4 linked regions of the Lonchura striata genome follow. The protein of the gene in region 1 purifies or fractionates together with the protein of each later gene. This does not show direct contact. Links are inferred from orthologs where the notes say so. Each region holds a gene or a part of one and is shown in the gene's direction. Other genes may lie near its edges. The genes, in order: SMARCA5, HDAC1, RBBP4 and HDAC2.

What was found.
Region 2: the proteins of SMARCA5 (region 1) and HDAC1 fractionate together in Homo sapiens (co-fractionation; 3 studies listed by BioGRID). This does not show direct contact. The link is inferred for Lonchura striata from reciprocal best matches to the Homo sapiens genes SMARCA5 and HDAC1.
Region 3: the proteins of SMARCA5 (region 1) and RBBP4 fractionate together in Homo sapiens (co-fractionation; 6 studies listed by BioGRID and IntAct, with this or other methods). This does not show direct contact. The link is inferred for Lonchura striata from reciprocal best matches to the Homo sapiens genes SMARCA5 and RBBP4.
Region 4: the proteins of SMARCA5 (region 1) and HDAC2 fractionate together in Homo sapiens (co-fractionation; 5 studies listed by BioGRID, with this or other methods). This does not show direct contact. The link is inferred for Lonchura striata from reciprocal best matches to the Homo sapiens genes SMARCA5 and HDAC2.

Annotation. Positions count from the first base shown.
Region 1 is NC_134606.1:64,813,226-64,820,613, reverse strand, and holds the start of SMARCA5 (SWI/SNF-related matrix-associated actin-dependent regulator of chromatin subfamily A member 5), read left to right. Parts: upstream 1-4,381; 5' UTR 4,382-4,480; coding exon 4,481-4,615; intron 4,616-6,900; coding exon 6,901-6,975; intron 6,976-7,388. UniProt on the Homo sapiens protein: ATPase that possesses intrinsic ATP-dependent nucleosome-remodeling activity.
Region 2 is NC_134628.1:1,055,227-1,062,751, forward strand, and holds the start of HDAC1 (histone deacetylase 1), read left to right. Parts: upstream 1-4,511; 5' UTR 4,512-4,569; coding exon 4,570-4,618; intron 4,619-7,525. UniProt on the Homo sapiens protein: Histone deacetylase that catalyzes the deacetylation of lysine residues on the N-terminal part of the core histones (H2A, H2B, H3 and H4).
Region 3 is NC_134628.1:930,445-937,266, reverse strand, and holds the start of RBBP4 (histone-binding protein RBBP4), read left to right. Parts: upstream 1-3,812; 5' UTR 3,813-3,887; coding exon 3,888-3,903; intron 3,904-5,645; coding exon 5,646-5,793; intron 5,794-6,057; coding exon 6,058-6,203; intron 6,204-6,822. Other genes in the region: ZBTB8OS (protein archease), read right to left, coding at 25-146, 683-707, 2,081-2,168. UniProt on the Homo sapiens protein: Core histone-binding subunit that may target chromatin assembly factors, chromatin remodeling factors and histone deacetylases to their histone substrates in a manner that is regulated by nucleosomal DNA.
Region 4 is NC_134605.1:67,189,299-67,196,485, forward strand, and holds the start of HDAC2 (histone deacetylase 2), read left to right. Parts: upstream 1-4,187; 5' UTR 4,188-4,320; coding exon 4,321-4,372; intron 4,373-7,187. UniProt on the Homo sapiens protein: Histone deacetylase that catalyzes the deacetylation of lysine residues on the N-terminal part of the core histones (H2A, H2B, H3 and H4).

The DNA of each region.
Region 1 (7,388 bases):
TCTTTCCTTGCCCTGTCTCGCTCTGGTTGCAATACTGTAAGGTGAGGAGTGAACTTCATTAAAGGAAACAGGGCCAGGGCAGAACCTAGTTGCTGAGATGGAGGAGAAACTGGAGTTTTGAAAATGGAATGATCTGTGTCTGTGTTTGTGCATTATTTTTTATACAAAAATTTATTTTGCATATTGAAAAAATATATATGATTGCCTTTTGGTTGAGCTTTTCAGTCATAGCAGCAAAGAAATAAAATCTAAAAGCATTTTATTAGTTCTGGGGTTTTTTTCTGTGAGGGTGCTGCTTGTTACAGAATCTCCATTCTTCGAGGATTTCTGTAATGAGTATCAGCATTTGACTCCATATGGGGTCATCTTTTTTTGCATGGGTAAAATTTACTGATCAAAGGGATTGTTTTAAACTAGGCACAAGCAGAGTCTGATATGCTATCTGCATGCCATGTTGCTGTTACCAAATATTCTCTCATTTGTGGTTGGACACAATTTTAAAAACTTTTGGTCTTCACATGTCACTATATTTGCAGTCTACTTTTTGAAGGTAGACACACGACAGGCTTACAGTTTGCTTAAGCACGTCAGATGAAGTCTGGGCTGTTTCTTTTCTGTGAAAGTTTAATTTTACCAGGATGGCTACACTAAAATTTGAACAATCTCAATGTCATCTTCATGGCACTCAAAATTTAAAAAGCACAAGGATGAAATGTATACACCTACATATGTTAAACTCTAAAAAGTTTCCATTGCATTAAGAAATCTACTGAAATTAATATATGGTATTGTTTGCATATGTTGAGGTTTTTTTTTTTTGTGGGGATGGATTTTTTTAATACTGTAAATCAATGTGTTGACAGTTACGATAAAGCTGATGACAGTGACCTTTGCTGATAGGCAGAGTGTTTTGGGGTTTTTGTTTTATTTTGGGGGTGGTTTTTGGGTTTTTTGAAATAGATATAGCATTATTTTGATGACTTCTTTGACTGTTGATCGTGTGTGTGTGTGTACACCACCTCTTGCCTGCAGCACTGTTAATCTGAGGCTAGAAGAAAAGTGACAGTGACAGAAGTGATGGCTTTGAAATAAGTCTAATTGTATTTACTCTTGATGGGATAGTCCAGCTCAACATCAGCCTTGTGAGGAAGTAGAACTGGCAGTATCTCATCTCACGTGGGTAGTATCTTGCTTTGGCTCTGTAAACTAAAAAAAAATTACAATCCCCCACCTAAGATCTGAACACAAACCAAGTTCTTACCCCTCTCTTACCTTCTTGAACCCAAATGAGCATATCATGGAGCAACTACAAACAACTCTGTTTCACTCCTTCCGTTTCCCAAATTTTGGGAAGTTTTACAGTTTTGATACATGTTCAGCAATGCCTATTAGCATACTTGCTGCACAGCTAATAGTATCAGAGTTACTTTTACTTGTGGTGTTTCAATTTCTTGTTTAACAAGGAGCCATCTAAAGAACATTAATTAAAATTAGATTGCACAACTAAGCAACAAAATTGAAAGATGTGTCACCTGAGAGATTTGACAAAAATCTGTTATTAAACTGTTGTTTACTAACTTCATAAGCATGTTAGTAATTAGTTGTCTCTACTGTTGGGTAATGGCTGAGAGGGGATATCTTCCTTTACTGTGCATTTGACCATTATGTAGGTGTTCAGTAGGTTCAGTAACTTCTGTTATGAATTTCTTTATGCCATTGGTTGCTTTCAATTTAAGGTCTTCACATCTGGACTCTGTATGGACTGTTATGGTTTTGTGTGTTTGTGAACTTTTTCATGTTAACTTGGAAAGTCCTCTTTCCTGCTTTCGTTGGGGTGTTTCTTTGGAGGGGGGTGGTTTGGTTGTTGTTGTTGGGTGGGGTTTTGTTTCAGTTTTGGTTTTCTGGAGGTTTTTTGCATAGTCTTCTGTGCTACTTTCAGGACTTCAGAAAATTCAAAAAAAAAAAAATTAGAGCCTTTTGTCTTTTAACTTTTGGCAAGATTCTTTTTTTTTTTTTCAATTATTTTGCCTGTTGAAGTAGAGCTGAACATTCACCTTTTCTGATACCAATAACACAAATATCTCAACACCCCCACACCCTGGCATGGTGCTGTTTTATTTTGCTAGATGGCCAAGGATCAATGAGATTTGGATGGAGTTGTGCTTTTCTACCTTCCCCATCAAACCAGATCCTACCTATCAGTTTTAGTCTAAAAGATGGTGTCAAAGGTGTTGAAATATCCTCGCCACTCTTCCCAAACACCTGACTTCTTCCCAAGGGCCTTCTACCCCATTTTCCTTCACCAGTGATTCTCCATGTGTGGTTTTGTTTGTGTGCTTTGCAGGGGAGGCAAAAGATGAAAAATGGGAAAGGGGGAATGTAGCTCCCTTCCCACCATGACTTACACTCCTCACTACACAGAGAGCACTGCATTATCTGGAGCAGCTCTGGGAGAGGGGCAGGAGCTGAGGCACAGCAAGTAGACACAAAACTACGCTGGAAGAATAGAGCTGGCTAAAATAACACAGTTATTTTAATTTGTAATTTGCTGCCACATGTATTTTTAAAGTTCAAACTGTGTACCTGAATGAAAAGCATTTAGCGAAGCTCAGGGACAGAGTTTTCATCTGTGATAAGAGAGGACAACGAGGAGTTGGAAAAATATGTCAGTAAATTTGTGATTAGCTGAGAAATCCTATTCTAGGAAAATTGATATTTTCTGGGAATTTATTCTTCTGAGCAGTTCTAGCAGAAAAAAAGTGACACCGTCTTTTGGAAATGTCAAAGCTAATAATTTTAACTTCAAAAAATATTAAAGGATGCCTGTAATAAAAGACAATGGAATGAAGGTTGTAATAATCATCATGAAGATGGTCTGTTTTGCTGCTACATTCCAGGCTACAATGGTTTCTCAGAAGATGGAAGATGCAGCTCCACAAACCTATGGAGTGCACTCAGTGGCTGCATCTACACTGACAACTCTTGTGAATATTGCCGGAATACCTACTGGTGTGACAAATCTGCAGATGTATAGAGCAATTTGGATAATGTGGAGAACATGACTGTCCACATTGTGAACCAGTCAGGGGAGTTTTGCTTCTAACTAGCTCAGGTCTGGCCCTTTGGACAGCCTCTGTTAGCACCTTGAGTGCAATAGTAGTGCTCTTAAGCAGCTTTTCCTGTTCAGTTTCATCCTATTCCGTGCACTCCAGGGTTCTGGGATGCATGCTCTGGTAGGTGGCACCTGGCAGGTTATCTGTGAGGCATTGCAGGTGTAGATCTGCTCAATTACATCCTAAAGCAGGGGGCTGCAGCCCACGATGCTTCAAGCTGGGAGCAGACACTGTGGTTGTATTTAGGTTACAAAAGTGTACTTCTGTGCCTACAAACTTGGCCTGGCTCAACCTGAGCAAGCGAGAGCAGGGGACTTTGGAGGGTGGCTCTGTGTGACACCCTTTCTGTGAATGTTCAAGTCCCTCTACCCAGAGCTCATGGAGAGATGAGGAGCCCATAGAGCAACCTGAAGCTGCCTCTTGAGTAACTTACGGTATAGCACACTGCTGTCACCTGCTTTAACCACGCTCCCTGCCGCTCCCGCACGGGGTGCGGGGCTGCTGCTGGGCTCCAGCCAGAGCATGGCTTCACCTCCTCAGGTGATTCCTGAGCCTTTCCTGGAGGGCTGTGAAGATGGTGAAGGGCCTTGAGGCGAAGCCACGTGTGGAGCAATTGAGGTCAGTTCAGCCTGTAGCAGACTGAGGGGAGACCCCATTGCAGTTGGAGATTGAAGGGAAGAGGAGGGATAAGCACTGAGCTCTTCTCTGTGGTGACAGCGAGAGGATCCCCCAGGGAACGCCCTGAAGTTTTGTTGGGGAAGTTTAGGTTGGATGTCAGGAAAAAAATCCTACCCCCAGAGGCTGGGCCTGCGCTGGAACAGGCTCCCCAGGAAAGTGGTCACAGCACGAGCTCAAGAAGCATCCGGACCACGCTGGGGCACAGTGTGACCCTCGGGCATGGCCTGTGCAGGGCCAGGAGGCGGACTCGGCGATCCTCGCGGGTCCCTTCCAACTCGGAATACGCTGTGATCGTACACAGGGCGTGAAACGCGATGCCAGCCGCGATTTGAACTCAGGTTTCCCGTACGGCTGTGCATCGCAGGGAGGCGGGGACGCCGCGGTCGCACCGAGCGCCGCCGAGCTCGGCGGGGCCGGCGCGCGCCGCAGCGCCCCCACCGGCGGCGGCGCGCGCTGCTCGCGGGGGAAGTCTCGCGAGCGCGGGCTCGCGGGGCGACTCGCGCGCGGCTTGGCGGCTCCCGCCGGGACGGGCCGGGCCGGGCCTCGCTCCCTCCGCCGGCCGCGCTCCGACACCCGCAGGCCGCCGCCGCCGGCAGATCCCGGCTGCCGCCCGCGCCTGTCCGCAGCACGCAGCCCGCCGGACGCCAGCCCGAGCCTCGGCGAGGCGCCGTTTCCTCACGACGCGGATCATGTCCGCCGGGCAGCCGCCGCGGCCGGACGAGCCGCCCGCGCCGCCGCTGCCGCCGGGTGCCAACACCGGCGAGGCCGCGGGGACGGGGCCGCCCTGCGCCGCCGGCCTGGCCGGGGGCGACGCGAAGATGGAGGTGAGTCGGTTCGGCCGGCGGGGTCCCCCCGCTCCCCCGGCGGCAGGTGGGACACCCGGGCCGCGTGGGGCCGCGGGAGACAATGGAGGAGCGGCCGCGGGGCCGCACCGGGCAAGGCCGGGCCGCGCTCGGTCCCGCCGCCCTCCCGCCGTGAGCGTGGCCCGGCGCCGTGCGATGTCTGCGGTGTCCCGTCCTTCTCGCCCCCTCCCCGCCGCGGAGGGGTCGCGCTCGTCCTGCCGCTGGGACGCGCGGAAGAAGGCACTGCGGCCGAGGCACGCCACTTGTTTTCCAAACGGGGCGGCGGGAGCCCCCCGCGCACCCCCAGGCTTTCTGTCTGCTCCTGCTTCCCCGAAACCCTGCCCAGCCTTTGCGCTTCCTGCTCCAGCCGCCAGCCAGCCCGGTGTCTAAAACGCATGAGCGATGTTTGTCTGCTGAAGTGCTTCAAAACTTTTTTCTATTTTTTTTTTCCTTTTTTTTTCTTTTGAGAAAAGAGGTGCGAGGGTTGTGAGAGGGGTTGTTTTGGCAATAGGTGCATATATTCCAGAAATTTCAGGGGGTTGGAAGTGATTGCCTGGAGATGCTAATTCTATCGCGGCATTGTTTCTTTAATGATAGCAGGAAACTGGTCGGTCCTGCTTTCAGCGCTGGGTATTTTGTACTCTGAGTCACGCTGGGCTGTTCAACCTACTTGTGCTAAATTACATTGCAAATGCCATGTTTTTCGGATGAACAAGTAGCCAAAGCACTGTGGGAAATTAATCTTGCTCGAACCTGCAGAAATAGGGCACTTCCAGGCTGGAGTTTAGCGTGTGCAGGCTGAGAAACGCGTGCTCTTGTGGCGCCCGTGTGCGAGGGCTCTCTGTGCTGCCAATTCCTTTCCTTTTTTTACCTTGGGAAGGGATTTCCTGGCGTACAGTGAAGTTTGAGTTGGAATGCCTTGGAGCCGTGAGCATCTGAAGGACTGTTTTCCCTGGTCTCCAGCTCAGCTGCAGGGTTCTGTCATCTGTGCAGCAGATGATGAGCTCGGATGGCCGTGCCGCTCTGCTGCTGTGCTTTCCAGGTTAGGCATTGTGGCAGAAAGGGGAATTGCGAACAGAAGTTCCAACGGTCCTCTGCTTGTGCTTACTTGGGTGTTGGCTCAGTCCAGTGAGGGATGAGTAAGAGGATTTAGTTATGATTTCAGAAGAGCTTTAGCCATGACTTCTTACACTCAATTCTTTATATTCTGTCTAGTGAATTAAACATTTGTGTTAGGATTTTTCTGTTTCCACATGCCTCACCTGCTAGAGGCTTGTGAGGAAATACCCACTGACGAATATCCTGTTTCTTGCCAGCCTTTGTTTCATTTGTTTCTTCTCCTGTTCCTTTGTTCTGTATTGGCCGATAAAGATTTAATTTAGCCCCATACTTACTAAACTCAAATAAACAGTAAAAACACTTGACGGCATCTCATTTGTTTCATTTTCTCAATCTTTCAACAGTTATTTTGTTATGTGTTACCTTAGCATTGTTTATCAGGGAAGGATCATCTCACTGCTTTTAGTTTTAACAGGAGATGAAAATGCATATGGGGAGACAATATGCAAAGAGTTAACCTAATGACAGAAAAGACAAGGATGAAAAAGCCCTGATCCAGAAGAGTAATTTAAGGCAGTATGTTAAGAATTTGGCAGGAAGGGCATGAGGGAAGACTGCCCTCTCCTAGCCAGCTGGTCCTTCTGTTGTTAGTAGTACCATGGGTGATAAACATTATTTAATTTAGTAAACTATGTAGGAAAAAAAAAATACAGTTTCCTAAACTCCTCCTCAGCTTTCAGGACAAAAGTGCAGTGTGGATTCTTGTTTAGATTTGTTTTTTTAATACACAGTGATGAGGGATTGGGGTAATCTGGCAAAAACCTTGAAATTGCTTCAGGCCTAGAGCTGGTGCTTTCACAGTCCGTCTCAGAGCCAGCTTCAGGGGGGTTGGCTCACAACCCTAGAACTGGCATGCTGATCTCCTGGACCACAGCTGTCTCCCTCATTCACATTGATGTGATGCTTTAATGATGGAGCTAAATCAGATTACAGAGACTCAGCTCTGTCCCTCACCCTGTGGCAGGGATCTCCGATTCATCTCCAGGTAATTGTATAGGTAATAATAGAGAACTGACTACTGTCTATCCACATCAGGTGCTACGACCAACTTTTGCTGCTTTGATACAATGTGAAACGAGCTTGTTCTCCTTTAGATGGGTATCTTCTCTTTTTCAGAAATATTTCTTCTTAATTCTTTTTCATCTCAGGAGCCTTTTGATGATACGTCTCTGGCAAAGCAAAAAGAAATCCAGGAAACAGATCCTACATATGAAGAGAAAATGGTATGTAATATTTGGCACTGTGTACATTTAGTACTTATGCACTTATTTAAAATAGATTTGAGTTTTCTGTTTGCTTGTTTGAAATATCTTAAACAGATTTATAAAGATTTGTCTGGGTATTAAAAAATATTTAAGTAACTTGAAACAAAAAATATTCAGAAGAACACTTCTGGGACCATTCTCCTTTCCAGGATTTTAAAGTTACCTGTAGAGCAGTTCATCCTCTAGGCAAGGGGGATTATAAAGAGTTGAGCATTCAGCTTCTCGGTCAGAACTGGAAAGATTGTCTAGGAATCTCTTTATGAAGCTTTAATTAGAGTCCTCAGATTTTTGAAGATGGATGCTGGTTTTGTGCTTCACAGGTTAGAAAGGAGAAAATTTGTTATTTTCCTTCTTTTTTATTTTTTCATAGT
Region 2 (7,525 bases), on another chromosome or scaffold:
TCCCTCCATCCTTTCCCTCCATCCTTTCCCTCCATCCTTTCCCTCCATCCTTTCCCTCCATCCTTTCCCTCCAACCTTTCCCTCCATCTTTTCCCTCCATCTTTTCCTCCATCTTTTCCCTCCATCTTTCGTTTGGGGCTGTGAAACTCCATCTCCAGCCACCCCTTACAACTCCCACCCAGCTTTTGGAACCTCCAACATCTCCTCCTCAGCTTGGGCTGCCCCGTGGAGCCGCCCTCCTTGGCTGGCACCGCTGCCCGGTGTCCAGATCCCATTTTTGCCTTTTTTTCCCCCAAGGGTTCTACAATGGGCACACGAAGGTGGCAGTGAAGAGCCTGAAGGCTGGCAGCATGTCCCCCAGCGCCTTCCTGGCCGAGGCCAACCTGATGAAGAAGCTGCAGCACCAGCGGCTGGTGCGGCTCTACGCCGTGGTCACCAAGGAGCCCATCTACATCATCACCGAGTTCATGGAGAAGGGTGAGGCCACCCCTCACCCTTTGGAGGGCTCCATCCACAGGGAAGTGGCCACGGAGCTCTGGAACTTTAAGGCTGGAAGAGATCTTTGGGATAAAGTTCATGCTGTGAAAAATCCCCACTTCAACAGACAGAGCGCTGGGGCCTGGGCATTGTCCTGACAAGGGTGGCTGGGCCTGGCGTGGTTCTTGTGGCCCAAATTGTATCCTGGGCATTGTCCTGGCAGGGGTGACCAAGCCTGGAGTGGTTCCTGTGGCCCAAAATGGGTCCTGGGCATTGCTCTGGCAGGAATGACCAACCCTGGCATGGTCCCTGCCACCCAAATTGTGTCCTGGGCATTGTCCTGGCAGGGGTGACCAAGCCTGGGGTGGTTCCTGTGGCCCAAAATGGGTCCTGGGCATTGCTCTGGCAGGAATGACCAACCCTGGCATGGTCCCTGCCACCCAAATTGTGTCCTGGGCATTGTCCTGGCAGGGGTGACCAAGCCTGGGGTGGTTCCTGTGGCCCAAAATGGGTCCTGGGCATCATCCTGGCAAAGGGTGACCAACCTTAGACTGGTCCCTAAAACCTGGGGGTGATCTAGCTTGAGTCCTGGGCATTGTCCTGGCAGGGGTGACCAATCTTAGGGGGGTCCCTGCCACCCAAACTGGGTCCTGGCCATTGTCCTGGCTGGGCTGGTCATTCCTTAAACTCCTCCAGGGTGGTGACTGCAGCACCTCCCAGTGCAGGCTCCAAAACCAGTCAGAATGAAAGACTGGCAATGTGGAAATTTGTTCATTTTAGAGGTTCCTGCGCCTCCAGCCCCGGGGAAGCTTTGCCTTTGTTCTCTCCCATATCCAGCTGGGGCATGAAGGATTTTCTGTGTTCTCCCGGCCACATTGCCAGAGTTTTTTTTGGGGGGACAGGGCCCTTGTGACCCCCCAGGCCCCCCAGGAGCTGAGAACTGCTGCTTTCATCACAGGCAGCCTCGTGGACTTCCTCAAGACCTCGGAAGGAGTCAAGCTCAGCATCAACAAACTCCTGGACATGGCAGCGCAGGTGAGGGGGGAGCAGAGAAACGGGGAGAGAGCTGGGAGACCTCCGGAGCTGTTAATTAACAACTGCAATTCATCCATAATTACAAATCCCAGATTGCCGAAGGCATGGCTTTCATCGAGGCCAAGAATTACATCCACAGGGACCTGAGGGCCGCCAACATCCTCGTCTCGGACACTTTGTGCTGCAAAATCGCCGATTTTGGGCTGGCCAGGCTCATCGAGGACAACGAGTACACAGCTCGGGAGGGTGAGCCCCGCCCAGCCCCGGGGGTCACCGGGCTTGGGGACACCGGGAGGGGGACCCGCGGCCAGCCTGGATCCCCGGGGAGCTGCAGGAGAGGGGTGCAAGGATGGATTTTGCCTTTTCCATCTCTCTCCCCCCGCGGCTGGAGTGCTTTGGGGGGGCTCCCGCAGGCTCGGGGGGCTCAGCCACCAGAGCCAGCCGGTGCCCAGGCAGCGACAGAGCTGTCACACGGAATTCAATCAGGTTCCAGCGCTTTATCCTCCCCTTCCCACCGCTTTCCAGGGGCCAAATTCCCCATTAAGTGGACGGCACCCGAGGCCATCAACTACGGGACGTTCACCATCAAGTCGGACGTGTGGTCCTTCGGCATCCTGCTCACCGAGATCGTCACCTACGGCCGGATCCCGTATCCAGGTGAGGATTTTGGGGCAGCTGCGGGGCCGGCACGCCCGCGGTGTGTTGTGTGTGTGTGTGTGTGTGTGTGCGTGTGCATGCAGCGCTGCACGCACGCTGCTGCCAGCCTGGCACCCTGCCCGGCCCGGCTGCACCGGGCACGGTGGCCAAAGCCACCTGGGGAGGGGATGGAGGGGATGGGAGGGGATGGGAGGTGCCCCCCATGCGGGGTTTGGGAGGGTGGGGAGAGGTACCTGCCACCCAAAATGGGTCTTGGGCATTCTTCTGGCAGAAATGACCAATCCTGGGGTGGTCCCTAAAACCTGGGGTGACCCAAACTGAGTCCTGGGCATTGTCCTGTCAAGGGTGACTGAGCTTGGGGTGGTCCTTGCCACCCAAATTGGGTCCTGGGCATTGTCCTGGCAGGAATGACCAACCCTGGGGTGGTCCCTGCCACCCAAACTGGGTCCTGGCCATCCTCCTTGCAGGGGTGACCAACCCTGGGGTGGTTCCAGTGACCCAAACTGGGTCCTGGCAGGGGTGACCAACCCTGGGGTGGTTCCAGTGACCCAAACTGGGTCCTGGCTGGGATGCCCAACCCCAGGGTGCCACCCACACCATGGGGATGACCCGAATCGGGTCCTGGCAGGGATGACCAACCCCGAGGTGATCCAGAACCTGGAGCGTGGCTACCGCATGCCGCAGCCGGACAACTGCCCGGCGGAGCTGTACGAGCTGATGAGGCAGTGCTGGAAGGAGAGCCCCGAGGAGCGCCCCACCTTCGACTTCATGAAGAGCGTGCTCGAGGACTTCTTCACCGCCACCGAGGGCCAGTACCAGCAGCAGCCCTGAGGGTGCTGCTGTGGGGTGCTGGGGGTGCCCCACAGACCCCACGGACCTCACCCAGGCTGGGGTGGGGAGCTCTGTGAGGATTTGAAGTGCTCCAAAGCTTGGGAGAGCAGATTTGAGTCCTCCAGGAGGAGCTGCAGACCCCCAAAGCTTGGGGCATGGCGCAGATGTCCTCAGGGTGCCCACCCTGCCATCCCTGCTCTTCCCAGAGGGAAAATCCAGGCTCCAGCCCCCCAGGGCTCTCCTGCCCCACTCTTGTGTCCCTTTCACCCCCTTTTGGCTTCATGAAGAGCGTGCTCGAGGACTTCTTCACCACCATGGAGGGCCAGAACCAGCAGCAGCCCTGAGGGTGCACCTGTGGGGTGCCCCACAGACCCCATGGACCTCTGAGGGGTCCAGGATGAGGGGGGAGCTCTGTGAGGATTTGAAGCATTCCAAACCTTGGGGGCTGCAGATTTGAGTCCTTAAGGAGGGGCTGCAGACCCCCAAAGCTTGGGGCATGGCACAGGTGCCCTCAGGGTGCCCACCCTGCCATACCTGCGCTTCCCAGAGGGAAAATCCAGGCTCCAGCCCCTCAGGGCTCACCTTCCCCATTCTGTGCCCCCTTCACCCACCTTCGACTTCATGAAGAGCATGCTTGAGGATTTCTTCACTGCCATGGAGGGCCAGTCCTTGAGGGCTCTGCTGTGGGGTGCCCCACAGCCTCCATGGATGTCTGAGGGGTCCAGGATGAGGGGAGAGCTCTGTGAGGATTTGAAGCATTCCAAAGATTGGGGACTGCAGATTTGACTCCTCCAGGAGGGGCTGCACAGCCAAAGCAGTCCCCCAAAATCTGGGGCATGGCACAGATGCTCTCAGGGTGCCCACCCTGCCATCCCTGCGCTTCCCAGTGGAAAATCCAGGCTCCAGCCCCTCAGGGCTCTCCTGCCCCGCTCTGTGCCCCCTTCACTCCCTTGGGATGGCAGGAACCCCCCCCAGCAGCGCTGGCCACCGCACCCCGCGGCTGCTGGAGCTCCCTCTGCCCTCACGGCGTGCGCAGGAGAATTTTACAGCGACTTTGGGGAAATAAAGGCATTTTCAGCAGCGGGGGCCAGGCTGCCACGGGGTGCGGCACGCGGGGCGATGCCCACAGCACACGGACCCCACCGGCACCAACCCACCCCAGGGAGCCCCTGCGACCCCCGGGACCCCCCCTCAGCCCTGGTAGCCACCCCTGGCCCTTCACTCGCCCAACCTGCCCTGGCTCCCCCCTCCCCTGGGATGGTTCAGCCCCACCTGCCCCCCCCACCCCACCAAGGGAATGGTTCCTCCCTGCCCACCTGGACCCTCGATGGTACAGCCACCACCACCCCCCCATCCCCCGCCGCAGTGGTACAGCCCAAGCACCCCCGGCGCTCAGCCTAACTTGCTAGGTGCCGCTGCGCCTTGCCATTGGCCAGCGGGCGGGAGGGGGAGGAACGGAGAGCTGCGATTGGCCGGCGCGGCGCGGGGGGCGGGCCCGCGGGCCCGGGGCGGGCGGGGTTGGGTGCGCGGCGCGGCGGCGGGTCGGGCGCTGTGAGGGGAGGCAGGAAAATGGCGCTGACGCAGGGCACGAAGCGCAAAGTCTGCTACTACTACGATGGTGAGGAGCTGCGGGCACCCCCTCGGGGCTGCCGGGCCGCGGGGGAGCCGTCCTGGGGCGGGGGGGAGGGGGGGATGAGGGGGCATCGCGGACGGAGGAGGCGGGGGTGAGGGGTGAGGGGTCATGAGGCGGTAATGGAGAGGGGGGTGAGGGTAATGGGGTCACTGAGGGAGGATGGGGGTGCTGGGGGTGGGATGAGAGGTTGGTAATGGGGGATCGTTGGGGTCATGGAGGTGAGGGGGTTGAGAGGTTTTGGGATGGGTGTTGGGGGTATTGATGGGCGGGGACGGTCGGGGAATGGGGATCAGGGGTTGTGTGGGGTTTTTAATGGGGTTGAGAGGCGTAGGGAGCGTGTGGGGGGCATGGCAGGGGTATGGGGAGAGCTGGAGAGGAGAATGGGAAGAGTGGAGGGAGATCGGGGGGTGGGATGGGGAAATTTGGGAGATTGGGGGAAGATCAGGGGGTTGGGATGGGGAGATTTGAAGATTTGGGGGAAGATCAGAGGGATGGGATGGGGAAATTTGGGGTTTTGGGGGAAGATCAGGGGTTTGGGATAGGGAAATGTGGGGATTTGGGGGAAGATCAGGGGGATGGGGAAATTTGGGGATCTGGGGATTTGAGGGAGTATCAGGGAAATGTGGGGATTTGGGGGAAGGAACAGCGGGATGGGGAAATTTGGGGATCTGGGGATTTGAGGGAATATGGGGGAAATGTGGAGATCTGGAGGAAGATCAGGGGGATGGGGATTTGAGGGCATATCAGGGAAATGGGGGTTGGGATGGGGAAATGTGGGGATTTGGGGATTTGAGAGAAAACCAGGGAAATGTGGGGATTTGGGGGAAGATCAGGTGTTTGGGATGGGATGGGGAAATGTGGAGATCTGAGGATTTGGGAGATGGGAAAGGCTGGGAAGGGTCTGGGCTTGGTGAGAGGGGCTGGAGGCCAGGAGAGAGTCTTTTTGGGTGCTGAGGTGCTGGAGGAGGATTTTGGGCTCTGAGGAGGATGAGGCACTCCTGGGACAGCGTTTTTTTGGGGTCAGCAGGGGCCAAAAAGCTTTTGGGAGCCAGGGTGGCTGTGTGCAGGCAGCTCCTGCCAGGAGCATCCTCCAGCTGTGCCTCTGGAGTGTGGATGGTGGCTCCTTTTGGGGCTGCCTCAGCATCCCTGTGCAGCAGGGAAGGAACAAATCCCAAATCCCAAATCCCTGGCTGTCCTGTGGGGCTGAGCAATCCCAGTGCTGCCCCTCTCCCTTCCCCTGCTCCTTTTTCGCTGCCTCTGTGCTCACCTTGTGCCACAGGCCTTGTGCAATTCTCTGCTCCCACACGGTTTTTGGCCTGAAATCAAATAAAAAACTTCTTCTTGCTACTTTTTCCCCCTCTCTAAGGAAGGAGGCTTTTCCAAATCCTATGCTCAGAGCTTTTTTTTCCCCCTCTAAAAATGTCGTTTTTTTCCCTTCAAATAGGAGGTTCTCAGCCCTGCTGGGTTATAATTTTTAAAGGCATTGAATTATATCTGAAATATGAAATAAGCAGTTGTTTTGTTTGAAATGCTGCTGCCCTGCAGGTCTTTGCTGCACAAGAATTTCACCAATTTGGGTTCCATACTTTGTGGTGAGCTTTTAGTGCCATTTTTTAAATTTTTTTTTTTCCTTTTTACTGTTCTTTTCTGAGCAGCTTTTCAACGTCCACAGCTGAGGGGTAAAAAGCTGCTTTTACTGAGAGGAAATAAATAATTTGTTGATTGGAGCCTTTTCTTTTCCACGCTGGGAGGCTGGAACCAGCCTAACCTGCTGTGGGAATTCCCTGAATTTCATGGGATGAAGGAATTGGGGTCCTTCCCTGCACTCCTGAGTGGCTGAGGAAAGATTTGGGTGGAATTTCTCCATTCAGAGCCTCCTGATGGAGGGATTTGTTTAACCCCAGCAGAGCCTGCTCAGTTCACACTCCTTAATCTGCTCTGACGTCCAGGAGCAGCTGAGCTCATCCAGGGATCCACAGGGCTTGGGATGTGCTCAGCACAGGGAACAGGAGCTCAGGGTTGGCCCAGGGCATTCCCTGGACAGCTGATGGGGATTTTTGTAAAAGCTTCTCCGAGTTCTGTGCTTCTATTTCCTATGTACAGCCTCAAACATCTCTTACAAGTTCCCCAAATCTTGATTTAGAGGTAGTAAAATCCGTCCCTAAAACACGGCAGGATGGTTACACCAGCACGGGTTGCCAAAATGTGAGAAAACAGAATTATTTTCAGTGAGAAAAAAAGTGATTTTACCTGAAAAAAAAATTCTATTTACTGAAAGAACATCTCCCCAGAGCTCCACAGACAGGTCAATTCCAGCAGCAGACTTGCCTGGATGTGGGATTTGCACTTTTGGCATCTCATTTTCCTACCTGGAAATAGATCCATGTCCACAGGAGGAAGAAAAACTGCTTCTGCTGAAGGTGGAGAGTGGTGATGAAATGTGAATTCTCCCCTCTGAGTCACCGGCCAGACCGGCTTGGATCCCCTGCTTCCCAAAAGGAGCAGGAGTTGTTCCAGCCCAGGAACAGCTTGGGCTGGTTTCCCAGGAAAATGAAGCTTGGGAGAGATTCCTGCTCCCTGCAGCCAAATCAGGCAGAAATCTGAAAGGGAAATTCCTGTGAAATTCAGGGAAATGAGTGCCCCTGGGAAAGGAGGTGGAATAAAAACCCCATTTATCAGTGAGGTGTGAGCTCAGTTTGGAGGAGAAAATCCACGTGGGGAGGTGACTTTGTTCCCCATGTCCCATAAAACAATTCCTGGCGGGTGGCTGGAAAGGCCTGGGAATCCTCTGGAGGATTTGAAGGGATCAAAAGGGGTGAAACCAAGTGTGGAGCTGTAAAAGCAGAGCTGGGTGGTGTTTGCAGAGTCCAGAGTTCCCTGGATCCCGTTTCC
Region 3 (6,822 bases), on another chromosome or scaffold:
GCATAGAAGAGGTGCAGTCCTCACCTTCTGCCTCTACCTCCACCGTATCCACAGGTTCCACAGTGCCTGTGTCTGTCATGTAGCCAAACATGGCCATGGCACACTGCTCAAAGGCTTCTTCCAAGGTGTCTCCCCAGGCATGGAGCCTAAAAACACATGCAACAATCACTGGAGCCTAAAAACACATGCAACAATCGCTGCAACACAATACTGGATCACAACAAAAAGGAACAGCCCCAAAGTCACATGCAAATGAGCAATTAGAACATTGGAACTCAGGCAGAGGAGGTGAATGAGTAAAAAAAACCACCTGATTTTTCTAGAAGAAGTTTGTCAGAAGAGTTTCTTGGGAGAATGTGGAAAATAAATGTTTTACTAGTTTTCTTTCCTAATGTGACTAAATGGTGTCTATAAAAGTAAACCACACAGAAGAAATTTTGTTTAAAAGGAGATTTCAAAAGACGTTTCCAAATAGCACTGAATGCTAAAAAAGAAACCAAACGTAATTCTATGGTGTCCCAAAAGCAGGAGCAAAACTGACCATATCAAAGCACCCAGTGACATTTCAGAGCTCCACAAGGTGTTACATCTGCAAAGTGTCCTTGGCTGTTACTCCAGGCTTAAAGCAGTGTAAAAAATAATCAATTTGTCACCCTGAGAAATCCCAGCTGCCCACACTTACTGCACATCTGCTGTGTGATCCAAATCTGAGGGGAAGCAAAAAGAAAAGGAATGTCACCAAAAGTATTTATAATATAAGGATTAAAAAAATAACAAAAATATCTGATTTTCTAACAAAACATTTTTACATTCGTCTGCATATATGATAAATCTACTGTAGTATATTAGAAAAATTTAGCACAGGTGGAAATTTGGATATTATTTCTGCCAAAAAACCTGTTTAATGTGATTATGTCAGTGCAGGGTTTGGCTGCTGTAACCCAACAGGCTTCCACAGGTTAACTGCAATAACAAGAAACTTTCACCAGGAGTAAAATGTTTATGCTGAAGTCTGCAGGACTCAAAGTTATTCATGCAGAGGATGAGATTTGCAAATATTTCCAGCTCAGTAAGGAAATCTACCTGTGCACACCCAAAAGCAGCCATTATGCAAAGAGAAGAATTTAAAACAGAGGATGGAATATAAAATAGAAGGCAAACTTTACTCATGGAGCATGATTAACATCCCATGTATCCAGCTGTACGTGAACCTTGTTGATGTTTATTCAAAGAAATTAAAGAAATGAAAATTCTAGCAGAACTAAGTTGGGATGTGAAATAAATGCTCACTTTAACTGAAAAAAAAAAAAAAATTTGGTGCTGTTTAAAGAGATCACGCACTATTAGACAACAGTCTCTAAAGCAAACAAATTCCTTTGGGTGCAAAAGAGGGATAAAAGCTCCTCCAGTTATGGAAACTGTGTGGCTGTTGTGATGTGTCACAATTTCTGCACTTCTAGCAAATAAAGACCTGAACACAGCCTAAAAATAGAAATTCTATCAGAGGTTGGGCTGCCACCCACATCCTCTGAGGAGCCATTCCCGGGGTGGGGAAAGGGAGAGATCTTTAAGGAGAGTAAAAACACCACACACAAAGCCAGCCCACTTTTTAATGTCCCTTCCTACAGGAGAGGTAGAGAAATTGCTAAAAAATGGCTCAGAAGAGGAAAAGTTTTCAGGGTGAGACCTGAGTCATTTATTTCCAGCGTGTTGTTTTTTTTTTTTTTTTCAGTGCCCATAACAAGAAAAATTGTTTATATGAGGGAAAAAAAGAAGAAAATAAAAATAAGAAAAAATGAAGAAGAAAAAGAAGAAAAAATGAAGAAAAAAAGAAAAAGAAAAAATAAAAATAAGAAAAAAATGAAGAAAAAAATAAAAAGAAGAAAATATGAAGAAGAAAAAATATAAAAAGAAGAAAATTAAAAAAGGAATGAGGAAACACATTGAGGAAAAAATGAAGAAAGTAACATGAAGAAAATTGGTTTTTCATTCCTGTATTTCCTGTTATCTTCCTTGCCCTCACAACAGCACTGCCACACGCTGCATCATGATAATATTTTAAAAAAATAAAAATACTCACATTCATATTTCTTGCAGAGAGGGGGGTACTTGTCCTTCACAGCCTTCTGCTCCTGGGTCAGGTTGTAATCCCTGTCCTCGGCTGCCATCGCTGAGGGCTCCCCAGGGATCCCTCCCTTCCTCAGGCTGGGGCAGAGCCAGGAATTCTCCCTCAGTTCCTGCTTTCCTCACAAACCTGTGGAGAACAGGGAGGATTCCGAATTTCAGCTGGTTTGTGTCAGATTGGGAGGGAAGAAATTAAATCCCACACCCATGAAGTGATGTTTGGTCAGGCAGCAGAGCCAAGGGAAAATATTCCTTATAGGAATTGTGGATTTTGGCCTTTTCTGGGAGGAATTCTGTTTTTTTCCTCCTTGTGTACATTGAGCATTCAGTTCATTCACAATTAATAAAATACAGCCCTGATGGGAACTGCTGTGAAGTGAATTAAACTTCCATGCTTTAGGTTAATTTCAATTTTCTAATTAATTCATTTTTTGAGGGTGCTCAGCCCATTGTACACCACACACCTGAAGTGTCACTGCCCCCAAAAACCCCTGATGTGACCTTACAGGTTTTTCCTCAGGAAAAAAATTAAACCTCAAAGCACGTGCATGGTAAATCCAGCTGTCACCCAAGTGCCAGGGGCTTCCTGTGTTCCTTCTCCAGCTGATTTTTTAAATAAAACAAAAAAAAAGAATTGTATCAACTGTAAAAAACTGTATAAAGAAAAGAATTGGGGAAAAAAAAGAACTGTAAAAAAGAAAATGTATCAACTCCCCCATATAAAAGTCAGATCCTCACACCCCAATCTCACAAATTTTATTTTTCCTGTTCTTTTGTAAATTCAACATGAGAGAAACTGATGAACCCAATTAACTTCAGGCTGATTAATTTACCTCTCCAGATTTCCAGATATCACAACGATTCTTTAATATTTTTGTGCATTATAAGAATTATCCTCAGCTGAACCCAGCACTTCCCCAAACACAAATAATTTATAGATATACCTTAACTTTTACACAGGAGTCGCTTCTTACTCCAAAGCTTAGAAACAAGGCTTAAGATTTCCAATTTTTAATTTCAGCTAAAAATCTAAGTGTGTTGGAAAGAGGTGTCTGAAGTTGAGAACTCGAGGTATCCCTTGAGGAATAAACCCAGATACTGATATTTGATTTTAAACCTGTTAAGCCTCACCTGTGGACAGCACAGCAGCCGACCAGAACCAGCAAATGTCACGCCTTTAAAACTCACCGCGGCAGTAAATTGTGGGAAAAGGGAACATATTCGTGATTACAGAGAATTAATAACACGCCGAGGATACCCAATGGTGGCAGGGCGGCCCTGGATGGCGGCCTCGGCCCACACTCGCACCGGTCCGGTCCCGCTGCGATACGCACTTCCCACGTCTGTGGTGACCGGAGGAGCCGCAGCCACCGCTTCTTCCAAACGAGGGACCGGGAACTGGCACCGAACCCGGCGCCCCTCAGCTCGGGGCGCGGCCCCTTTAAGAGCGCTCCTGAGGGCGCTCCGGAAAATGGCGGCTCCCACGGGGAGCCCGCCCACGGGACGGCGGCGCGCGCTCCCCTCCCCGCCCCTTTGCCCTCCGCCGATTGGCCGGCGCCTCCCGGCGGCGGGCGCTGATTGGGCGGCGTTGGCGCGCGAAGGGGTGCGCGGCGCCGGCAGCCGCACGCAGCGGGGGCAGGAAACAATAGACGGAGCCGCGGCCGGAGGGGTCGGAGCAGGGAGCGCAGGGAGCGCAGGAACCGCCCGCCCGCCTCGCCCAGCCTCGCTCCCCGCGCCCCGCCGCGCTCCCCCCCCGCCCCGCCATGGCGGATAAGGAAGGTAAAGGCTCCGTTATGGGCGGCGCGGCCTCCGCCGGGAGGCGCGGGGTTCCCTCCCTCTCCCCCCCCGCAGCTCCGTTACGGCGTGAGGGGAGCGGGGCGGTGCCGCCAGGGGGCGCGCGGGGGCGGGGCCTGAGCGCTCCCCCTCAGGCATGGCCGCCGCCGCTCCCCGCGCCCGCCGCACCGCCCGCGGGCAGCGGCCCGGGCCGGGGCCCTCCGCCCGCCCCTGTGCCCCTCGGAGCGGCTTGTGAGGCCGGGAGAGCCGGGCCGTGCCCTGCGCGGGGAGCGGGCACACGAGGGTGGCACCGGAGGGTGCCCCGGTTGGGCGGGGGTGCCTCCGTTTCATGGGTGAGCTCCGGTCCCGCAGGGGGGTTCTCCCCTCCCGTGGGAGAGCCCCGGTTCTGTGGGGGTGTCCCCCAGTTCCTTGAGGATGTCCCCAGTTCCTTTAGGGTGTCCCCCCCATTCCGTGGGGGTGTCCCCGGTTCCTTGAGGGTGTTCCCCGGTTCCATGGAGGTGTCTCCCTAAAGGACACCCTGAAGGAACTGGGGGACATCCTTGGTTCCATGGGGGTGTCCCCGGTTCCTTGAGGATGTCCCCCGGTTCCTTGGGGGTGTCCCCCATTCCTTGAGGATGTCCCCCGGTTCCTTGGGGGTGTCCCCCATTCCTTGAGGATGTACCCCCGGTTCCTTGGGGGTGTCCCCGATTCCTTGAGGATGTCCCCCGGTTCCTTGGGGGTGTCCCCCATTCCTTGAGGATGTCCCCCGGTTCCTTGGGGGTGTCCCCCATTCCTTGAGGATGTACCCCCGGTTCCTTGGGGGTGTCCCCGATTCCTTGAGGATCTCCCCCGGTTCCTTGGGGGTGTCCCCCATTCCTTGAGGATGTCCCCCGGTTTCTTCAGGATGTACCCCCGGTTCCTTGGGGGTGTCCCCGATTCCTTGGGGGTGTCCCCCGGTACCTTAGGGGTGTCCCCGATTCCTTGAGGTTGTCCCCCAGTTCCTTCAGGATGTGTCCCCGGTTCCTTAAGTATGTACCCCCCGTTCCATGGAGGTGTCCCCCGTTCCATGGGGGTGTCCCCAGTTCCTTTAGGGTGTCCCCGTTCCACGGGTGAGCCCCCCCAGGTCTGCCCGTCACCTTCTCTGCACCGGAGGCTGGTGACAGATAGGCCAAGGAAGTGTTGGAGAGCTACAAGGCAGCAGAAGGAGCCTTGGGAAACTGGATTTTTGGGAGCAAGTAGTTCAAGGCTGCGCCCAGACCGGTCTGTTAAACAGCAGTTGCTGGATCTCCTGTGTTTAAACATCTTTACAAGCCTGGGTTTTGCCTCCCTGTGCTTGAGTCTCAGAATTTTATTGTGCTGCTCTAACAGCATCGTCCTCAAATCATCCCAGAATGGATTTTCCTCTTCTGAGCCATTTCTTAAACTCATCCCATTCCACCCCTGCCATGGCAGGGACACCTTCCACTATCCCAGCTTGCTCCAAGCCCTGTCCAGCCTGCCCTGGGACACTTCTAGGCATGAAATATGACATAGTTAATGTTAATTCCCAGCCATGTATGCATAAAAAAGGATTAGCATGTGCAACAGGGGATTTTTAACCGTTTAGTAACTATTCCAGTAGAGCAAATAGCAAACCAGGGTGTGATTGATGTACTTGACTCTAACCCATTGCCTGCCCACAGCGCTGTATGTCTGTAAATTCATTTACAAATAATTAATTGCATGTATTTCTTGAAAAAACACTTCAGCAGCCTTTGATGATGCAGTGGAAGAGCGTGTGATCAACGAGGAATATAAGATATGGAAAAAGAACACCCCCTTCCTGTATGATCTGGTGATGACCCATGCCCTGGAGTGGCCCAGCTTGACTGCTCAGTGGCTGCCTGATGTCACAAGGTAAAGGGACCCTTCTGCTCTCTTTTTAAAGCAGAACAAGCAGAAAATCCAGGATTGTGCTGGCTTTTAGGTTGAGATCACACAATCCCAAAGTGGTTTGGGCAGGAAAGGACCTTAAAGCTCATCCAAGGACACTTTCCACTATCCCACATTGCTCCAAGCCCTGCCCAACCTGGCCTTGGACAAATTCCCCTGTGCCAGCACCTCCTCATCCTCACAGGGAAGAGATTTGGTGATCCCTGTTTTGTTTCTCTTCCCCTGCAGACCTGAAGGCAAAGATTTCAGCATCCACAGGTTGGTGCTGGGCACCCACACCTCAGATGAACAAAACCACCTGGTGATCGCCAGCGTGCAGCTGCCCAACGACGATGCCCAGTTTGATGCTTCCCACTATGACAGTGAGAAAGGAGGTAAGAGCCCAAAAAAAGGGGAATTTGAACCATTTCCCCTTCCATTTCTCAGTAGGAAATTCTGTCTTTCCCTAAAGTTCAGGCAGCAAAGTTTAGATTTTACTTCTAAAAAAAATTATTTCTAAGTGGTGCCTCCTTAATAGACAAATTCTGTTTCTTGAATGTGTTACTAATCTAATATTTCTGATGATGGAAACAGACAGTAGAGGTTGATTGCAAAAATATTTGTGTGTGGGAAAACCTCTCCCTTCCCTATTTTTCAGGAACTGACCTTGAATCTCACATACTGCTTTTAATTGGTGTTTTTATTACCACATTTGCATTACGCAAAGTCACACGAAACATTTTTACACAAACTCACGTAAAAGAATATTTTTATTTCAGAGGAGTGTTAACATTTCAAACATTCTGTGAGTTCTGCTGCCTGATTGCTGTTCCACAATTATATTTCATTCCATGTATCAGACTTTAATTTGATGCTTTGTAACCTTTGTGGCTGTCTCAAGTTAGACATTTCTCCTGTTTGCTTGGCTGAATCAGTCTTTCCACCAGGTGAAAGTCCTCAATGATCCAATGTTTGCTCTACTTTTTACAGGAAGTTTGGATTGTGCAATGAGTA
Region 4 (7,187 bases), on another chromosome or scaffold:
CTATTACTCTTAGCAATTTCCAGCAGCAATTAAGGAAGGATATTGAGCAGCCTTGAAATTCAAAAGCAGTTGGTAGATAGCAATATTGTCAGTGCTTACTGGGCAAATAAGCTATCTGAATCTGAGCAAATATGAACCTTTTTTTTTGTTTAGTTCTCTTTATCTATGTTTTCTTTAATGATTTTGACATTCTACATAAAGTGATTTCATTAGCAAGGTATTTGCATGATGAAAACTATGTTTTCTTCTCAGGAAAGTGACTCCAAAACTTTATTTACTCTTATGCTTTCCAGAGCTTATCTAAGGCCTATCAACAGCATGAACAGAACAAGTCAAGAGCATTGTCTGTGATTTTTCTCCACACATATATGTCTGTTGATTACAAGCTTGCAGCTGTGAATGGTGCTAATAGGTATCACTTGAAAATGCTGCTTTCACAGATAAAAAGAGGGTGGTAGGAGAAAGGAATATGGCTAGGGGTAAGGGAGGTGGGTGGGGTGTGCTGAGTTGTGCTTAATGGTATAAGCTGTAACTCTTATATGAGGAGTTGAATTTATGAATATATTTTGTATGTTTCTCTAAACTAGTTTGGATTGTTGGGGTTTTTTTTTCTTTTATTTTTGATTTTATGGTCTGGAATGAGGTGATCTTAAAGACCCTTTCTGGCCTTTGCTAATACAGAGATTCATCAATTCTTAGGTGAATAATTTTCTTTGCTTTTTAAAGAGAAGTTTTGTTGTTTCTTAATGGTTTGTTGGTTGATTTTTAGTTTGGTTGGCTGTTTGGGGTTTCTTTTTTATTTGCTATAGATTTCATTTTCAGTTTTAGTGCATTTTTTTTTCCTGTCAATTTCATTAGTTATTGAGCTCTGTTAAAGAGAATTAAGGTGGCTATATCGACGTGTGTGCATGGGCTTTAATAGTTTGGATAAGAAATAAGCTTAGGTGATGGCAAGCTTTCTAGCTGTATCGTTCTGCTTTTAGATTATGCAAGGAGAGAGAAAGAAGGTGAATTGTTCATCATTTCATGGTGTGCAAAGTAATACTGCTTTTCTATAGCAGCAGTTAAGAGAAAAAATAGGTGCTCCAGATCCTCCATTTAAGCTCTGTTTTAAAAATACCTTTAGTTGAGTGGAGGTAGGGAGAGTGAAGGGATTTGAGAATTATAGATTGCTTTTTGATAAGAACAGTAAAGGGATAAACTGTTACTTATAGAGACCTTCTTGTCCATTATTTGCCTCATCATTTTGTGAGTTTTTACAGTAGATGTGATTTAGGATAAATGTGTAAGAAATAATAATACTTTCTATTGCAATGTTGGATGTATATGTTGAAGATGAAAGTTACTCTTCTGTTTAAAAGATCCTTATTGCTGCTTTTTATGTCCCTTCCCAAAAAAAACCTTACTATCTAAGGTATAACATAAATTCAGTGTGAAATAACAAGCTAATGTTAATATAATGATGCAGGGAAAGAGTGAAATAACGTTAGCATTCACCCAGTAACAGAAACAAGCCATTACAGGAAGGTAGAAAAAAAATAATCATTACATTATAAAGTGTCTGCATGTTGCAACATAGTAAAAGTAACAGCAGCCTTTCCCAGTGATACTTTGTTATCTGGTCTATTCAGTTTTCCAAGGGGCCTGGGCCTCAGCTGGCCGGTGTGGGTGTCTGTTTACCCCACAAGTGACGCTCCGAAGTTTCCTCTCGATCATTAGCTTTTGTGTAGCATGCTGTTCACTTAACAAGCAGCTTTGAAGACATCTGCAAAACCTGCATTGCTAGAAGCGGGACTGGTCTAGGAAATCACCCTCGTATACACAACCCGTGAAACTTGATATTTAAGCTTTACTGACCTTTAAATGTAATAGTGTCCTTACTGTCATACTGAGCTACTGTGAATTCAGTGAATGAATTCTTACCCCTTTGACAAAAGGATAACTTTATATGCTTATTGACACTTTCTTAATGCAGGTATGAGTTGGTATTCAAGGAGTTTCTCTAAATAAGAGCTGCACTTGCCTAAATTCAGATGTTAGAAGACTATGAATAATTATTTTTGCCCTGAAAGCAACATAGCCTCTTTTGATTTAGGCCATTTAAACCAAAATAAGTTATTCCTATATGAGGTTGAGTATCCATTTGAGACTAATTAAAATTATGAGCTTTTTTTCTTCACATGAAGTCCCTAATAAGAACTTTAACAATACATCACTGCTTTTATTGAATTCCCTATGTGGTGCAATAAAAGTATTCCTGATATTGAGGTAGTTGATATGTTGTTTTACTATTTTGATAGAAAAATTTATCAGACAACTACAAAATGTTGAGTAATTTCATAAACACATTGAATTTTAGTGGTCAAAGAAGCATATAATGCGGTGGTTAGCCAATACAAAATCATGGAGCTTCTGGAGTCCAATCTAAGTCTGTTCAAGTAGTGACAGCACTAAGAACGCTGAGATAAAAAGGAATTTATCAGTAAATGGATATCGTGCCTCTGATAGTGTTATACAGGTATTTTGCTGCACTTCACACCAAGAAACAAACATCAGCTGTATTATAAGATGTAGGAATAAATTTTGTATGCTATGTCTAAGAGAAAAATTTCCAAATGGAATATGAAAAAAGCTCTTTAAAAATGCTATACCATCTGATGACATCGTAACATAATATCCTTTAGTTAAAAGGTGAAGGATGGGGGGTGGAATCCAGGATTATCCTAAGGTGTTTGTGCATGCATGTGCTTAACAAACTTATTTTACAGTTGTCTGTCTCTAATAATATAAAATTATTTTTTTAAATCAATTACAAGGACCCAGACCCCTGTGAGGTACTTCTAGGGGAAAAAGCAACCTAATCCTGGGAACAAAGACCAAACCTGTGTTCAGGCATGTATTGGTTTTGTGTGACATAGGTTATACTTGTTGCCTTGTTTTCAAATAGTGAAGCACATGTGGCAATAACCAGGGGTTTTAGTTACTTTTAGAGACTCCAGCAAATCAACAAACTTTGGTCAAGACTTGGATGAGTGTAAAGTCTGTAAATATAGGCCTTTGGGGTCAGCTGAAGAAACAGTAAACTTTAGTGTAACTGATGTGTACCCCCAGACTCAGTTTATCAGGCATCACAAGTGTGAATCCCTGTATAAATAGAAATACAAGCAAGCTGGCTAAGCATGAATGCCGTCATGCTTCTCCTTCCTGAGTTTGTACCTGAGCCGAGGCAAGGAGAGAAAACGGCTGATAGATCTCCAGAAAAAAATTATTCAGATGTTAAATGCTTCTTGTGTGGCATGCGCTGATTTTTTGGGAGAATTGCTATATGAAGCATGCTTTGAACTTCCTCTAGAACAGGAATACTGAGATGCAACGCCTGCCACTAAGACAGAGTACTGACAGACAGGAGCACTCAAAAAAGCCGAAACAAAACAGAAACGAGTTTTGTTGTGGAAAAGAGTAGACTTTCAGTTGGGGAGGGGACCAGACGCGACAACCCAGCCGGCCGAGCATCTGCAGACGCCCTGATGAGGATGAAGTTCGGGCCCTAGCGCGGCGGAAAGCGCTGCGCGGTTGGGGACGAGGCCCCGCGGCCCCGGGCGGTGCGGGGGCGGCTGAGGGGCTCGGCCGCGGCCCCGGGCGGCGCGGGGCCGGCTGAGGGGCTCGGCCGCGGCCCCGGGCGGTGCGGGGGCGGCTGAAGGGCTCGGCCGCGGCCCCGGGCGGTGCGGGGGCGGCTGAGGGGCTCGGCCGCGGCCCCGGGCGGTGCCGGGGCGGCTGAGGGGCTCGGCCGCGGCCCTGGCGCTGGGCAGGGCCGGGCCCGCTGCGCCCCAAGCGCGGCGGTCCCCGTGCCCGCTCCTGCCGCAGCCGCCATGGGACACCCCGCGCATGCGCCACACAGCTCCGCTGAGGGGCGGGGTACCGCCCCGACACCCGCGGCGGATCGTACCACTGCGCGCCGTGGGGGTGGGACAGAAAATAGTTTTCTCCAAGAATTTGTTTATGAAGAATTCCCACTGGCTTCTTCCCTGGCTTTTGTGTATAACTAAGGAAAACTTTCACGGAGGGGGCGGCGGGAATCCACGTCCGCTCGCGTGCGCCTTCTCCTCTTCCTTCTTTCCCTTTCCTCCCTCTGTCGGCGGCAAATTGGGCGCGTCCCGCTAGCTGCCCCTCCCGCTGCCGAGAGTCCGGCCCGCTCCCGCTGCTGGCGGTCCCGGCGTCGCGAGTTCCCGCTCTCCCGCCCCCTCCTTCCCACCCTCCGAGCCGGCTCCGCGCTCTCCTCGGCTTCCCGCTCCCTGCCCACGGCCCCGACGCGGCAGCCCTATGGCGTACAGTCAGGGCGGCGGCAAGAAGAAAGTCTGCTATTATTACGACGGTGAGCGGGGCCGGCGCGGGAGCGCGCGTGCAAGAGCGGGGGGGGCGCCCCTCTAATGGCCGCCCGGGGCGGGCTGTGTTCCTGGTCCCGCCGGCACGGCCGCCCCCGTCCCGCGGGACGAGGCCCTCCCCTCCCCACGCCCGGCCCGGCCCGGCTCGGCTCGGCCCCATGGCGGGCGGGGGTCCTCGCTGGCTTCACCTGCGCCGCCGCGCCCCGCTCCCGCCGGCGGCTCTGCTGAGCCCCGCGGGGCGGCGGGGCCGGCGTGGTGGAGTCGGGCGAGGTGAGGGTCGGGGAGCTCCCTTATCCCCCAGCCCCGGTGGTAGGTGCTGTGGCCATTGTTTCGCCCCAAAATACTCACCACCCGCCCGCGCGTCGTGCCCCCCCCCGCCCGCCCCCTAAAAAAAAGAGGAAAAAAAAAAAAAAAGAAGAAGAAAAGTTGAGACACTCCCCTCCATCCGCTGAGCAGGGAGGCGTTGAAGCTGCTGCTGTGTCTGGCTCCTCCCCTGCAAAGAAAGTCCAGGCCATGTGTAGCTCTGGCACCTGGTGATTGTTGAGCCGAGGCCTTTCCCTGCCTAGCGCTTTCATGCCGAGGTCTGGGGTACGGAGGGACAGGGGCTCTCTGCCTCCTCCTCCCCCATTCCCAAGCCGAACACGGATCAGAGCAGAGGTCTGGCTCCCACGAGCCTCCCTTCCCGCAAAACGCGGAAAGTTGTGTGCGTGGGTGGTTAATAATAGTGGAATTTGACTTGCATGTAGGCCCTCTGAGTTTGCCACACTGGTGTAGTGGGGACACAGGGGGCTTGCGATCGGCGTTGTCAGTCGTGGCAAAAAAAGTGCTTGGTTTGAGATATTTTCAGCAACTTGTTTGCGGTTTTCTCTGGCCGCAGCACCAAGAACTTCTAGTTTTCTTAAGCTTGAATTTATTTAGCCCTTTTTGTACTGGGAGGTGAGCTAGATGGGCAGATTAGTTTAGAGATTTGATTAAATTGCCTCCTATTGTAACAATCTTGTATGGCTGCATCTGAGACTGGTCTTGGAAATAGTCAGCAAACAGAGGTTGAGGATGTTCAGCCGGAGACCTTTGGTGTTTTCACCATTTTGGAAGTGAAGATGAGTGGCTAAACCCACTCAAGATATCAAAGGTTGTGTTGCTGTAGCAAACCTGCTGTTCTTTGGAAATGGCAGATCTTGTGGGGCCTGTCTTGGCTTTTTTTTTAACCACACTAAAGAAGGCAGAGTGGTGGTTGCCGCCCCCTTCTCTTTGTTGCTAGCAGTGGTTCTTTGTTCAGCCTAAAGGGGAAAGGAGGCCCCTGTTAGGGATACTTTTGTTGAGGCTAGGATCTTACTTTTCCTAGGGAAGAGGAATCACTTTTCGCCTTGTTGAAATAAAGACAGCAGTGATAGTTTATAAGCTTTCTCTCTGAAAATGTTTGCCTTTTTTAAAATCAATTTCCTTTTTTTTTTTTTTTTTTTTTTTATTTGATAAAGTCAGGTAGCTGTAGTTCACCAGATGTTGATACAGTGTTTTTCTGTGATCACTGGATTTGGTACTCGATGCTAGCATTAGATTCCCTAATCTAATGATTAAAGCTATACTTGTGAAGAGTCAGGAGAAACTGGAAGAGGAGCAAGTTTGGAGGTGGCAGGAAAATGGTGACTTAAAGCAGTTGCAGCTTATCTGTAGACTAGGATAAATGTAGTTAATAATGTAGAGAAGATATTACCTGTTGTACCTTAAAATAAATATTTTATATGTGCCAGAAACAGTTTTGGAATATTTTTGATGTCTCATTTTTTTGTGTTGCCAAATCCAACAATTATTTTGCATGCCTTTTGGAAATAGAGTTATTAGAAAAAATTTTAGAGTTAATACCGAAAATAGATATCCTGATGCTACTGTGTGGTTCATCTGGCAATTCTGAATAATACTAACTGTTGTATCAGCAAAGCCATTGAATCACAGTGAACAGAGTGTTTGAAGCCTTAAATAACCCAAAACAAAAAAAAATACTGAGGTAGTGGTATATCTCTAAAGGAATGTCATGTCTGAAGTAAATTACCTCTTTTTTTGGGTCATAATTGGCTCTCCACACGTACTTTTACTCTGTTTCTTAAAAGTTACACACTAAAAGGTCTTGAAAAGTTCCAGAAGCATATACGCTTATCTTCTGAGATGCAATAAACTTCCCCCTGCTTTTTGTGAAACTTGGTATGATTGTCATTTAATGCTGATTTTTTAATTAGCTTGTCACTTCTTTAGAGTGTATTGTTGTTAAGGCTTTTTTTCCTAAATCAATAGTTTTAACAGTCTTCATACTGTATGTGGAACTAATAAACTTTGAGTAGACAAAGCTTGATTTCATTATCTTGAGTTTGCTCGCAATAGAAAGTTAACCACATCCAATTTTGCAGAATCTTCACTGCTTGTGATCATGCTCAGGTCAGGAACTTTGCTTAAATTTAAGCCAGTATACTATGGGAAAAACGAATTAAAATATGAATTTAAATACTTCCATGATCTTGCTTAAAATATTTTTCAGAAATTCTTCTAGTCTTGATACAGCTTAACAAAGTGTGCTCCTCACACTGCTTAGAACCATGCTAGATGTGGAAGGCTATCATAGTTTTTAGTTTACTCTCTTGCCATGTGTCTTCAGGTTATTGTCATGGTTTTGCAGCATTGTGGCTCAGGTAGCTCTTCCAAGGTGTTGTACAGTTGCCCACAGCAGTGAGAACAGACCCCAGATGGTCTTTCCAGCTCTGTGCTCCTGCACAGACTGGCACAGCTCTAGAGAATCGTGCAGCAACTGGTGTG